Drosophila melanogaster: one gene and its partner. The protein of the gene in region 2 interacts with the protein of the main gene of each other region in a pairwise test. Each region holds a gene or a part of one and is shown on either strand. Other genes may lie near its edges.

What was found.
Region 1: the proteins of CG5466 (region 2) and CG11275 interact in a two-hybrid assay, tested with the Drosophila melanogaster proteins (2 studies listed by BioGRID).

What each region holds. Positions count from the first base shown.
Region 1 is NT_033778.4:22,175,109-22,182,601, reverse strand, and holds the start of CG11275 (uncharacterized protein), read right to left. Parts: upstream 2,908-7,493; 5' UTR 2,611-2,907; intron 1,327-2,610; coding exon 73-1,326; 3' UTR 1-72. Other genes in the region: CG11170 (uncharacterized protein), read left to right, coding at 4,115-5,161; Fbxo42 (F-box protein 42), read right to left, coding at 5,347-5,787, 5,845-7,226, 7,285-7,465.
Region 2 is NT_033777.3:20,612,766-20,620,258, reverse strand, and holds the start of CG5466 (uncharacterized protein), read right to left. Parts: upstream 2,377-7,493; 5' UTR 2,169-2,376; coding exon 2,157-2,168; intron 2,045-2,156; coding exon 1,752-2,044; intron 1,696-1,751; coding exon 631-1,695; intron 398-630; coding exon 177-397; intron 98-176; coding exon 1-97. Other genes in the region: CG15923 (uncharacterized protein), read left to right, coding at 3,415-3,679, 4,508-5,466, 5,535-6,712, 6,771-6,939, 7,206-7,293, 7,350-7,493.

The DNA of each region.
Region 1 (7,493 bases), on a different chromosome or scaffold from region 2:
TACATTAACTTAGGGCAATAAATACATACACGTCTTACGGACTAACTAATTATGATATCGCGGCTGAAGTGGCTACACCAGGTTGGCATAGCGCAGTCCCTTGACGAGACTTCCGCTGAAGCTGTCCTCGTCAGTGAACCGAATTCCGTCCGCCTGGCAGGACTGCAGGCTGCACGGATACTCGGCGCCGTAAGCACTGCTGTCCCAGCGGATCTGCAGCTCATAGGTCAGCTCCGGATTCAGCACACAGGCCTCTTCGCGTCGCCAGCCAAGATGCAGGTTGCAGTTGTACTTGGTATTCTGGCTCTGGACAACGTGACTCCATACGGGCGACGTGGCCGGACCCTCGCTTTCAGCGGGCACCTCGCAAAGGTCCAGCCGCAGCGATTCGCGGTACTCCAGCTGCTGGACGTGACCCAATAGGTTGGGAGTCAGCCTGCTGTTCAGGACCAAGCCCATCAAGGAGATAAATCTAGAGCACTTTAGACGCAAGCGAAACAGCGGAGTTTCTGCATCCACTGTAAAGGGCCTGCAGGCCTTGTAATAGCAGCGCTCCACCAAAACCACCGGAGTTAGGGCAGGTGATTCCAAATCACTAGCACCCGAAGCCGCAGGCCAGTCGCTTGTTTTGCCACCCAAGTCGTGCACTACTAAGTCGGCATCGCTGGGACCCAGACCCAACTGCTCGCACTCCTGTCGTGTCCACTCATAAACATACCAGATGAGTAACTTGTGCGGTTCCTTGCACGCCGCTATTATGGCCTTCACACACTCCTTGGACACGTGCACATAGTGCTCCTTAAGGTGGCTCATATACTGTCCATTATTAACACAGCATCGCATGAAAAAGGTCATGCAGACCTCCAGCAACCCGTCGAGGCCCATGCAAACACTTAGCTCTAGAGCGGGCAAGATATTGGCAAATCGCAGCTTGCGGGTGATAACCATCAGCGTGTCGGCGATCAGCTCCTCCAGCAGATACTTCTCAGCGGCGTAGTACAGCTCAATGCAGGCCACCAGCTCCAGGCCATTGTAGTCAACGACGCCCGTGTAGATGTACTCCACCAGCACCTTGAAGATGGCAGAGCTTATGTCGTGGATTTCGATTTCCGGCTCGGGCTCGTTGTTTTGCATGGGACCAAAGAACATTGCCTCGAAAACGGGACTGGCGGAGCTCAGGATGAGCTTGTGGCATTTCACTTGCTCCTCGCACACGTGGAACACGCAATCTGTGTACTTGGCTCCACGGAGCAGCTGCCCGTATCGCCTACCCAGACCGCTGCTCACACTGCCCGGCTCTTTGCGATCCACCGCCGAGATGCTCATCTGCGAAAGGGGCAGAGAAAGGTGGTAGATATTAATGAGCCATTCGAAAACCTGTTTCCAATTTGCCCGTGTCATAGGCGGCCATCAATCATTCGAAGTATAATAGAAACTATTCAGGCGCGGGCGAATAGAAAGCGATACGAGATGTAAAATCAAAAGAAATAGCTAAAGTTTTGTTAGTGCGCAAACTAGTGATTTCGGTTGAAATGAAAAAATAGATGTTTGGCCAAAACAGGTCTTTGCTGTGTTTAATACGTTCTTGGTAATTCTTAATGTTTATTCAGTTAGTAACTCTTTTTAGTTCGAGCTAAAAATAACTGAAAGAGTCGTAACACTTAAGAAAAAATCAAATTTCACGCTTCCAATTTCGCTTGCTATTTTATGGCTATTAATTAAAAGGGCGTGTGCCACAAAGCGAAAAGTTTAAATGTCCGATAACGCAATCCCCTTGAAAAATAATATGTAGTCAAGGAGGTTTGAGTGCCTGCAGTCAACGTGACGTAATTCGATTTGTATATTATCACTTACGCGACATGCATCAGATTTCCTTGGTCATGGCCAAGAATGCAAATATATAAACACATTTGTATATATATATATATATATGCGATCGCACACTTGACAGGCTTTTGTTTATCAATAAGCCAAAATAATACTACGACGCGACTGTTTACCAGCCAGCTGGTTGGTTGGTTAGTTGCTTGGTTATTCATATATTGCCGGCTTGGGTTTGCTATTTGTTTTCCCAGCGGGTACTATATGTATATAACCGGTTTAAAGTGTTTGTACAGATCTCAGTTGGACAAGTGGGGCTCAGGCTAACGCGACTTATATGGGGGCCCTCGAAATCAGCGATGAGCACATGTCGGCGTTATCTAATGTGTAATTTATGGGTAGCTAGCACGGTGGTTTATGTGCCCTCCTCCAATTACTGCTAACTGACAAGCAAAATAACTCTCAATAATATATACACACATGTAGAACTTGGATATGGGCTGCTTTCAAACAATATGTGGCCCGAAAATAAGCTGAGTGCTAATTCCCTGACTCTGAAAATTTCGAACTGAGCAAATTTGATTGCAAAGTCAATCAATATTCTGGACTTCTGCTGCGCACTTTGTTGACTCGCCTCAAATCGCGATCTGCTCTGTTCTCAGTTGCGTAAAGTTAGGCTAGCCCAGGTGGTGAAGGTTTCACGTGCGACCTTAGGGCTAATTTATGGCTTTTTAGAACATTGGAATAGTTTACGAGCTAAGTGGACATTTCCAAGAAGAACACACACACCTTTTGGCACTGTGACAAATTCCTTTTCAACCAAGCACACGCGAGAATCGTAACAAAAGCAATTTGTGTATGTGAAAATCGAGTTGGGGGAAATTTAAAAGTGAATTTCACGCGCCCTCACGGTGAGGCTAATTGAGTGATCGCCGCGTCGTCGTCTTCTTCGTCTGAACTTGACCGATATCGCGTCTTTATGCGCCAGGCCAGACCAGACTACCCAGCTGTTCCAAGAGTTCGGATAACTTGAGCGAGAACCAGAATAGCGACAACCGTCGAGCGCAACGCGCCACCTTCAACTGATCTTACTCGGTTTGGGGAAACGTTCTCCAAGCGATTTCGATTTCAGGTCTCTCCTCCTCTGCTGCGTCTCCCAATCTCTCAGTGCGTTCTCAGCGATCTTCGGTCTTTTTTCGCACGAATACATTTGGTAGACGATTTCATCGAGTTTCCTCTTATCCCGAAAGGTTTAAATATCGTTCTGACGAACACTTTCAGCCAACTCATACATGCAGTTCCAGATGCGTTTCCCCGAAATTAGTCGCTGGGACTTGAACACATCCAGGTAGTTGAGACCGACCAAGCCCAATTCCCGAATTCGCTGGGCGAGCAGGAAGTTGAAAAAGGCGTTTGTGGAGCCCAACTGTTCCAGTTCGTTGAGTTGGAGTTTTCGTATGGTGCTGCGGCTAAATCTTACACGCGATTTTCTTTTGATAGTCTGAGGCACTGGCGAAGTCGTGGGCAATGGTGCTGAATCTTTAGCCGAGTCATTATGCTCCTCGTCGTCGCCAAAGAATGAGCCACAGAGCAAGTCCATTCTGGGCACACTTAATTTTGAAGTACAGGGCAAGGCGAGATGGAGTGCGTCTTGGAGGATGCGACTGGTATCGCCATAATGGCTACTCTCCCACCTCTGCAGAGATTACAAATTAAGCGTCTGATTCGCTTCTTGCTCCCAGCGTGATGGCCAACCTTGAACCCATTGAATTGGCTCTTCTTCAGAACCAAAGTTATTTCTGTAAGTCCGTCCCCCCGACGCCATACTCTTCGGACCTTGTGGGATAACCATTTCGGCATGAGCCCAGAAGCTGGTGTGATAAAAGCGATAGTGGTATCATAATCTAATCAGCTGTCATCATGACTAAATTAAAGATCTATAACTTAGACGTGCTTAAAAAATATAATAGAATAAATGGAAGCATTTGGTATTGCTTTTAGGAACTAGTAAAAAGGGAAATTCCATACTTAAAATACATACAGCTTAATAGCAAATTAAACTAAATGTAGCGAAAGGGTATAGACGCTTCGTTAAGCGGTCATAACCAGCTGCCTCTTTGGCTCGGTGCTTAGGTTCACTTTTGGCGTGTAGCTGCCAAACAGGTAATGTGGCCAGTGGACTGGAGGCTGGGCCCTCACGCACATTTCTTTGGATACACACACGTGTGGCTTCTTCTGTTGTTTGGCAAGCCCCTTCATTCGTTTCTCTTCCGTCTCTTTGCAGCTCCCTGTGATGCACCTGTCACACGGCCAACTGAAAGTGGTGCTCATTTTGGCCCTGCTGCAGGAGCTGCAGGTGAAGCCGCAGCGAGAGGTGTTCCAGGAACTTTTCGAGAAGGATCTGCGCTTGTGTCCAGACTGTTTCGTTGGACAGAGTGAGCCGTGCGGGGAAATCTTCCAGAAAATTGCAGAGCCCTCGGATTGGAGTAGACTTGTGAAAGCCATTTCGTTGCTCGTTGATCGCCGAGCGATTTACTTTCTAAGGCTAAAAGACCGGGATCAGGAAGTCCAGCTGGTGGCCAAAAGAAAAATCATTGATGCACAGAGTAATCAGATAAAAAATGTGAAAAAAGATTTCTATGAACTAGAGGAGCGACCTGGTGGTTTTCATCTCTGCCGAACTCTGGCAAGGGAACCCCGCTTTGTTTCGTACTTGGAGCAGCGTGGACATGCTGCCGCCAGTGTGTGGTTCTACATGATGTACTACGTTAGTCCGCTGCTTATGCAGGAACTGCATCTGCAGGGATTTCCAGTGCCTACCACCTACGCCTCCTGCGGACTAACACATTTTCAATCCAATGCAGGACGTACTTTAGCTCATTACGTCGATGCTGAAGAAGGTTTGCGTGTGGAGCTGGCTCTCCAGTTGATCCAGCTCTCCCTCAAGCTGACTTTTGGATTCGCGGACTTTCGCATTATCTTAACCGATTTCACGGCCGATAATTTGGCTTACGACGAAGACACCAAGAAGGTGTACCTCATTGATTTGGACTCCGTGGTCCTGGTGGACGCTTCGTTCGCAGCAGGACATGCCGAAAAGTACGAGCCGCTGACCGGCGAGGGATTCACATTTGATGTCTCTGCATTCTGCTCCGGCCATCAGCTGGATGCCAATATCTACCAGGCGTGCCTTTTGCTAAGGGATTACTTGCTTAAGAATTTGGACAACGAAAAGCTGCAGCTGCTCCTGGAGCAGTGTGTAGCATGCCAAGATGACTTCTGTGATATGCGTTTCCAACATGCTTACGACCTAATAAAAGTGCTGGAAAGCAATAATTAAAGCCAATCGTTGGAGATCCACTAGTAAATAATCGTTTATAATCATAAAACATATTCTTCATTACACTCAATTTAATGCCTAAATGAACCTCTTACGCCGAACTTTGAAGGATTTGGGAAGTGGGGTTACCAGCAACAAAGTGCTATCCGCGTAACGTTGGACTAGGACGGGCGTCGGTTCAGAGCTTAGATAATATCACGTGGCACACTCAGGAAGTGTATGGAATTGGACACATGATGTGTGATGTCCGTTAGTGTCTCCTTGTGCACGCCCCCGAAGAGGATGAGCTCGCCGTTGCCAGCAATGAGGCTCGAGAGGATTAGCCGATCCGGAGCACCCTTAAGCACTCCGAAGTTTTTGTATTCCACCCACTCGAGGGCGGGTTCGCTGCTGTCCAAAATGCCGGAGATGTCACACACGAACAGGGATTGCACATTGCAGCGCAATCGTTTGGGCGAGGGTGCGCGCAGCGGTTGTGGTTCCACTTGGGCGGCCGCCGGTGCGCTGCGTCGCGAATTGCGAATGGCGTTCATCTTCTCCTCCATGCGTCGTATTCGCTCGTTGTGATCCCGCGAAGCACTCCGCGATCGTGTGGGCACATTGAAGGCGGCCATTCGAAAGGGATCCTTTTGAAACAGGAAATAAATAAGAGGTCCATGATAGGCGCACTTAAAATCACTCACCTCATAGAGCTCATCGAAACGTTTTGGTAGCCTAGGTTCATTATCACGACACCTTAGAGCTAAATTTCTTTGCAAACGCTGTGCGGCATCCACATCGCCGTCGGCGGGAGATGGCGGAGCATTTGGTCGCACTGGCGGGGATGGAGGAGAAGCAGCTGCAGCCGCAGCTGGCGGGGCATGCAGATCACTCAATCTTCCCGAGCGCGGTTGGTAATTATTGTTATTATTGTTCACATTGCTGTTGTGCAGGAATTGCTGCGCTTGCTGCATGTGTTGATTAAGAATTGCTCTCCGGTTAGCCAAATACTGTTCTTGAGGACCCAGTGCAGCTGCTGCACCTCCCACTCCAGGACGGATGTTTCCTCCGCGATTTTGGCCAGGTCCACCCAATCCACCTCCACCTAGTCGACGATCCGGAACTGGTATCCGGTATCCCCTTGGAGGTACATTTTGAAGAGGATTCGGCGGCGGAGGTCCACGGCCTCCAACGACGGGGACTCTGCTTTGCTTCATCATTTGGAAGTCCTGCGGCATGTTGGGCGATGGGCCCACGACCACCAGGTAGTTGTTGACCTTGCAACCGGGATTGCACCACATGTGGACGGCTCCAAAGCGCTTGTTGCGCACAGCAATAGACTTCCAGCTCCATACATCCCTGGTCATGTCCAGCAGCCAGGCATCAGTGTACACGCGATTGGCACCGCCACATCCTCCCACGATCAGCAGATGGTTCCTTCCCAACTCCACCTGTATTTGTCCGTATCGCGGACTGGGTCGCGTGTTGCCCACAAAGAGCGGCTGCCACCAGCGCTGCTCCGGCAGATCCAGTACCCATGTGTCGTTCGAGTTCACATTGAAATCGTCTTTGATCTGGTAACCACCAAAAACTACCATCCGATCGCCATGTACCGTGGCCGAGTGTCCAGCCATCGGTGGTGGGGAAGATAGGGAGCTTCGCAGCAGCCAACGGTTCTTTCCAAGATCGTAGTAGTGCAGCTCGTCAAATAAGCACCATGGTTGGTAGGGCGGATGTAGCGAGGGGTATCGCCATCCGCCAAAGAGTATCAGCTGGTTCCGCCACGCCACCATTGATGCACTGCCCTTGGGCGAGGGATAGGTTCCTGTGGCCACTGGCCGCGCCCACCGCATGTGCGTCAAATCAAAGCGCCACAGATCGTTGAAGGTGGTGTCCGACGAGGATCCACCGCCGAATACGTACATGGAGTTGTCTTGCCGCACAGCCGAATGAGCAAATCTTCCGGCAATAAAGGATAATAGTGCTCCTGCCCCGCCATTGACTGTCTGCTGGGAAAACACCTCCCAGCGCAGTCGAAAGTCGATGAGGCCCTTCTCGAGATTGTGTCTGGAACGACGCACAAGGTCTGCAAAGGATAAGAAGTTAGTTAAGTTGTATTATATTCGCACTTTCCAGATGCCCACTCTTCACAATGGCGTGCCATCGCTTGCACACCAGGCTGCAGTGCTCCAAGTCGCCGTAGGGTGGCAGGTAGGTGAATATGAACTCCAGTATCTCATCGGGAAGGACATTCAGATTTACAGCGGCCAAGGTCGCCCCGCAATTGTCGTTCTCGCCGTCGACCTTGTATCTGCTCGCGTCCATCCTTTGTGATGTCCTTGCTGCCCCCTTT
Region 2 (7,493 bases):
TTGCCCTCGCTCTCACTTTTCCAGGACGACACGGGTATGTGAGGAGCTGGGAGGCAGTTGCGCAGCGTCTGCACGATCTGAATGGTGTCCATGAGGGCTGTCGGGGAAGAGAACGAGCAAGCAGGAGGCGGTCAGCATCGCAGATAGCGAAACCGGTTCCCAGCCAAGGTACTCACTTTTCTGCAGACTCTCACTCTGCTTGCCGTAGGGCTTGCACATCGAGGGACGTATGTAGGTTTTCATCCGCGACATGTTTCGCATCAGCTCCGCAAAGATGCGCACTATCTTGTCCTGACCCACGGCCAAGTGATCCATTCGATTGGCATCGCCGGTGGCCCAGGCTCCGTTGTGCAGCGCCAGCAGATCCTTATTCGATTCTATTGAGTCCAGATTGGAACTGAAATCGGAAAAGTTAAATGAATTCAATTAAGGGCCTAAAGCAAACATTTAAAAGTGATCAATTTACTTTACATATAGCAAATAATAAATAATATTGTAAACAACCTAATTCGTTACTTATCAAATACATACAATATTTTTTGTTTGTTTTAATAAAAAAATAAGTCTTTGTACACATGTTTTGCCAAGAAAAAGAATTTAAAATAATAATATCTAATAAATCTCACCCACCGCAAGGAGTCGGCGACGTTCTTGTGGGTAATCTGGTCCAACGAGGAATGAGAGGAAGACGAAGAGGATGAGTGTGGCGACTGCGATGGCGGTGGCAAGGGATGGTGTCCGTGATGGGCCTGCGGGCCGGCTGCAGCTCCTCCTGCAGCAGATGTAGTCGTAGCCGCCGGAGTCTGCTGATTGGCGGCGACGGCGGCAGCCACTGCCTGCGATTGCATCAGGCCTTGGATTTGAAGATTGGCGGCTGCAGCCGCAACGGCCATGGGATCAAAGTGCTTTGGATCCAGCTGGGCGAAAACTCGCTGCTTTTCCAGCGGACTGAGGTGGTTGCTAAGCTTCTCTAAATTTTGCTGGGCGAGGACACGGTTTTGCTGTTGGATGAGGGCAGCAGTCAATTGCTGCTGGTGCTTGGCTGCTGCTTGCTGTTGTTGTTGCTGCTGCTGCTGCTGTTGCTGTTGTTGCTGCTGTTGTTGTTGTTGATGATGAGCGGCGGCAGCACTGATCTGGGAGAGCTGCGTCTGGAGAGTGCTCTGCTGCTGCTTGGTCAGGTGCTGCAACTGCGGCGGCACCGGCACCTGGGGCACCTTCGCGCCCGTCGACTTGGACAGATCGATTTCCACGTTCGCCGAACTCGAGCTGCTTGCCACGCTGGAGGTGGATCCGGCTGCGGAGCCTCCTGGCCCAGATCCGGCTGCTCCCCCAGGCGGCAGATGCGCCAAGCGCTGCAGGAACTCGGGAGTGTTTACGCCCGGATACTGCTGCTCCATGAACGGCATGGGCGAAATTCCCATGTGGTTTTTATAGTAGCGACATGCGGGACTTGGGCAGGACTGCACCACCTCGATGATGAACTCTTTCTCCATGCCGAACTGATCCCGACCGATGGTGTACGACTCAATGACTGCCCTCACCGTGGCATCGACACTAAGGTGCAGGCCGTGCGGACCTGACATGTGCTTTAGCATGACCGCATTGGCAAAATGCTCAAAGGGCAAGACAATCTTTCCATTGTCGCGCAGTATTAGCCGTCCCTGGGAGTCCAGGGTTAAGCGGTTGGCCAGGACTCTGCAAACGAGGAAGTTATGAGAACGGATCTGAAAAAACCCACAACCCCTACTTACTGCAGATAGGCGGCGCTGGGCAGCATGGCATTGTCCTTGAGATCGCTGAAGCACTGCAGCAGCTCAGCACTGGGATTCCAGCCTTTGTTCTGCAGATACAGCTGCAGCAGCATGTACAGCTTTTCCGTAACATAGCCCACTCCTGGCATTCCAGCATTTGGCTGCGGCAGCATATCTCCGCCTGCCACGCCCCCGCCACCGGCACCACCACCGGGTCCTTTGGACAGAGCCGCCTTCATGGTCTCAGACAGATCCAATTTGTAGTTATCAGGATAGAAATGCTTGGAGTGCTCCTGCAAGGATCGCAGTGATTAGTTCACACAATCGGAAACAGAGACACCCAAGATCTGAGCTTGAAATCGAGCCCTGCTACCTCCACTGCCACCGCCGTCACCGCCCACTTACCAAATTGTTCATTTTCGTCTGGGACTGCGAATATCTAATCTGTGCGGCGCCAGTGCAGCATCCTGGATTCGAATGACCAACGGTTGCTGTCGGGAATCACTCGTCGGTCGGGGGACGAGACTGGGCTAACTGGCGGCCACGGATCGGGGGAAAAAAACTGTATGTGTCCGCCGCCTAATTGTGTTGTCCTTGCAAGGAAGAAGTGGGGGAGGCCATCAGTGTGACCGTCGCACGTCGCGGCCAAAAGCTCTAAAAACGACAGACAGCTTTATGCCCGACTTTCATATACATAAGCAAATAATTTAACATTTGTTGGCGTATAAACATAAACATAAACATTGTTAATGCGCTTAAAAATTTACTTAAGGCATATAGATATTTTTTTGCAACTGTTTAAGATTTGATTAGTACAGCCAATAGTCTTAGCTTTCGCAGAGCTCAAATTCTAATGCATCTAACTGCCAAATATTCTTTTTTAAGCTAATAAAAAAGTGTGCTTGAAATCTATTTGTTTTTTAAATACAAATATAATGATTAGTATGAGCTTATATTATATTATATCCTATAGCTACCACATTAAAAAAGTTATATTTTAGAAGTGAATTGAAAAAATAAATAATATAGGAAAATAATTGTAAAAGCGATTTAGCTTATTATACAATCTGAATTATTTATTTTTATTTTTTATTTATTATTATCTTACTAATTTAATTTTTGCAAAAACCATTCAAACCCATTTAAAAACGTAGAAGTGCAAAAGAATTGACTATACAAATGGTCTCTTTAGAGAGAATAATTAATTAAGTAACCCAACAAATAATTCCTTTACGTAGGATTTAATTTCTAAAATAGTCCTTGCTAATTTACATACCTACAAATTGTATGCAAAATCCTAAGAAAGTAACTAATAATGATGGCAATCACAATTTTGAGCACGCAAGTGCTGGAATATGAAAGGAAACCCAGCAGGTAAAAAGTCTCGAGGACTCATTACACTTAAGGTGGCCTCCTGGTCAAAGGACATTCGGCCGAGAGGGAGTAAGCACCTGAGCCAACCCTCCGGATAATGGCCATTTTGCATGCGTGCCCGGCGAAAATCGGGGGGTTGGGTAGCTATAGCAACACCACTCCCTCCACGAGTCCACTTGTTTACTTGCCTTCCTGGGCGACTTCCAAATTGCAGCTGCAATCGCTCCAGGGAATTCAGTACCCTTTCGAATATTGAAGAGCGAGCAGCGACTCCTAAAATCAGAACAGGATGAGGATGAGGATGAGGTGCTTCTCCCGGGCTATCAACTGGTGTTGTGCTCTTTTCTGGATCGCCTTACAAATTCCAGTGCCCATCTGCTCGCTGACCACCGCGGCCACAAATCCCTCGCAGCTGCCAACGCCGCACACTTTTCGCTTCCAGAATCCGACGCAGTGCCTCAAGAACGAGTTCTACAACCTCAACCTATTCGACTGTGTGCCCTGCAATGAGGTCGCCGGCGGAGATGGGGTTCAAGGAAAACTGCAACCCGACAGTGAGTGGTAGTATTGATCAAACAGAACCAAAAGGGGTGCCATGTGAAGGGGCAAGGACCTGCATGCTACTCAAGAGAAAGTATTCATTTTCAGCTGCAAAAGAGCTGTAATATTGTATATACCAAATTTAATATTCGGTTATTTAAACATTTTATTGGTTTAAGGTTTTGTCATTGAAAGCGACAAGGCTTTTTGCGATTAATATATTTTTTATAGGTCACAGACCTCGAATACTTAAGATTTATTCACATCAGTATTTGTCACTTAGCACAATTTGCAAACTTCACACAAATTTTATTTTGACGATCTCGAAGAGGAAATACTATAATCAAACAATTTTTAATATTAATATATTAATATATTTTTAATATTTCGAACTAATATAAATTAAACTATTGGTATTCTTAATAGATTTCCTCAACGATTTCCTGTTGTTTGATTTAATAAGTAAAGTATTTGTAATCAGTTATTTAAAATATGTATAAATAGTGCAGATAATAAGGACATTGTTGTGTAAGAAAACTAAAACTCGTTTTAGGGGTATTTATACAAAAAAAAAACAAGATAAACTTTTTAGTTTCGCTTTGAATTGAATTGAAAGTTGTATACTGTTTTTATATATATAATATCTTAAAATGATTGATAATTGTGACAAAATGAATAGATTAGTTTATATACATTTTCAATCCTTGATCATATGATAGATCTATGAATATAGGATATGCATTCGTATGGTTAGAAGAAAGTTTTACTATGTTACTGAAATAAAAGCTTCTTGTTTATTGCCCACCCAGAATTCACCTGCTTCTTGTTTATTGCCCACCCAGAATTCACCTGCAAGTGCCCGGCTGGTCATCTGTCCATCTATGAGCGCGGCAAGACGTGGCCCACCTGCGATGAGATTTGCACTCCGGACAGGAGCGACAATTGCACTTCGGTGTGGCTACCCCAGCCTCGACCTACCAATCAGTGCAGCTATCGGTATCTGAACTCCACGGCAGCCTTCGCCAGTCAGTTGCCAGTGCATCCACTCATTTCCGGCATCATACTGACCCATACAAATCCGATGAGCAGAGCGGGAGATTGCCATTCCTGCGATATGACGCACAATTTCCGGTATCAGGACTTCTGCTTGGCTAGCACCCTGCTCCGACCGTATGTGCACTACAACGCCTTCTGGCAGGCGACAACCACGCCGGATTCAAGTGCACCCAGCCGCTTTGGTGAGCTCAAGTTTGTGGCCTTCTTTTGCCTGACACTGCGCAACGATACCGCCTGCCAGCAACTGGCCAATCTGTGCGTGCTTTCCCATTTCTCCCTGGAAAAGCACTCGCCCTGCAGCGCCTTCCTGCTTACCCAGGTCTCTGATGTGGTCATGAAGTATGCCCACTCCGGCGAACAGGTGCGATCCCTGCAGCCGTTCCTGTTCTACAAGAAGGGTCGGGCTACCAAGGAGCTGCTTTCGAAGACGCTTCAGCTGCCGGATCGCAAGGAGCTGCGCCTTTTTAGCACCACATTTGGTCTAGATGGCGGACTCAAACGGTGGGGTGCCTTTCATCCGGAGATGCTGAACATGTGCCAACAGAAGGCGCCTAGCCTCCGAGTGGCTCTACCCAAGAGGGAGTCGGAGGTATCTTGTCAGCTGACCCTAGAGCGTCTCATTGACCTGGCCAACCAACGGCACAACGCCGAGTTTCTCACCGTGTTTCTAAACTTCAGTAGTAACTGGCAGTATTTGCTTCACCAGTTACCTGTACTCATCGAGACCCTGACGCCGGAAAACCAGGTGAGGAGTGTGATGTACTCAATTAGATAGAACTTAATCTCAGTTCCGTAATTTCTTCATCTGTCCAGCGACCCCAGCAGGAGGAGTGGCAGTTGGTGAAACGTTTCCAGCTGATCTCCGCCTCGCCGCGGGATAGTCATCTTCACCAGACCATGCCGCGCTACGAGGATGCCCACAAGCTGCAGCAATATTACTCCTTACGATATGTGGAGGACATCGAAATTCGTTATACGCTGGACAAGGATCAGCCGGATAGAGTGGGTCTGCCGCTCATTCGCCTGCGATACCGACACATAGAGATGGGATCGGGAAATATATCGCTCTCCCAACTGTACCCATTCACCCTGAGGATTAGCTACGACCAAGTAAAACGTGGTTGGGATTGGTTGATCTTGGAGGTGGCGCTGCCGCTGCTCCTTTTGCTGGCCTTTGCAGCTGCTGTCTTCCGTCTCCAGAATTTGAGAAGAAGGCGGAAGGCGGACCTCTGTCAGATGAGCAGTCTTATGGAATTTCTCCTGCAGCTGGCCGGAAATGTGGCATATGCTCTGCTGGCGACTACTCTGCTGCTCCTACTGCTGCAAGCCTCCAATTCTCGCCTACTGAAAATCCTACTCAATACCGCCTTTGTGCTGCAGTTCCTCTTTCTGGGCATCCACCTGTGGCGCTCCAGCCAGCTGGAACTGTTTCTCATCGACTGGGAAAGACCGCGGAGCAGCTGCGAAGGACAACGCCTGAATCTGGACAGCTCATCTCTCTGCTCTAGCGTGCGCACCTTTGTGGCCGAGAGCAGCGTCTCCGCCTGGCGAGTTCTCTTCACGGCCAATGCCTGGATTCGCCTAAGTGTCACCCAGAAGTACTCCACCTTGGGTCAGGTATTTGTGGTCATCGCTGGCTATCAGTTTCTGGAGAGGTTTACCAAGGGTGACATTTTTCTACGTTGCTGCCTTATAGCGGCAGCTTATCTGCTCACATATCTACTTCAGATAATAGGCCACCAACTGTTTATAGCCAATCCCCTCCAGAAGTTCATCGACCTGTGCAGTCTGGCCAACATCTCTCTGTTCTCACTGACGGAGCCAGGATTTGGTTACTACATCCACGGACGATCTCCGCACGGCTTTGCCGATACGGATATGTCCTCGATGATTTTGCAGCTGCAGAGAACCCAGACCATGTGTGGGCGACGAGGATTGCTAATGGACTCGGACAAGCAGGCGTACGTCATCCTGCCTCCCAGAAACCTTCAGTAAGATTTTGACTTTACTCCAATGAGGATATTGATTATCATAGTGTTTTTACTATAGCATCTACCTGGAGCGACTCCTGCTTCCCTTTCAGCGCAGTCTGACCGGCACCCTTTCGCAGACCATGCTCTACCAAAAGGACATCGTTCCGAGCATCGATGGACAGATGGAACGTACCTCCATTGCGTACGCCAGCGTCAATCGCTTCTTCTGCGCCTTTATCGACCATGTAAGCTTAAAGTCTACCTTAATTGATCCATTGAAGTATGTAACCAGTTAATATGGCCTAGTCGATCAAGCCGAATCCGTCAGTTTGCCCGTATAAGATCTGAGATCTGAGGATCTAAAAAATCGAAAGACTAAGCTTACAGATTCTAGCATTATTAAGAGCTACAGTCTAGAATACCTAGTAACTAATAAATCTCAACTCTTTTTGCTGTTTGTAAGCTCAGTTTTATTCTAAGATGGAATGTTCTCTTTTTATATTTGTGACAGGCTATCAAGGACATGGATTACATTATTAAGGAAAAGTCGTTTGTGGAACAATTGCTGAACTGCGAAATAGACAACTACATCACGGAAAGTGAGTACCCAATTCGAAGTTTCTCTTTTATGTATTAAATCCATTTAAATTTTCAGACAGAGGTACCTTTTACATAGACGACTCGTTCAGCTTCTCTCGCGTTCTCCTCTTGGGTAACCATTTGCACATCTTTGTCCTGGAACTCCTCTTGGTGCTGTCGATCTTCTTGATGACCTCTAATTTGTTAATTGCAGCTGCTG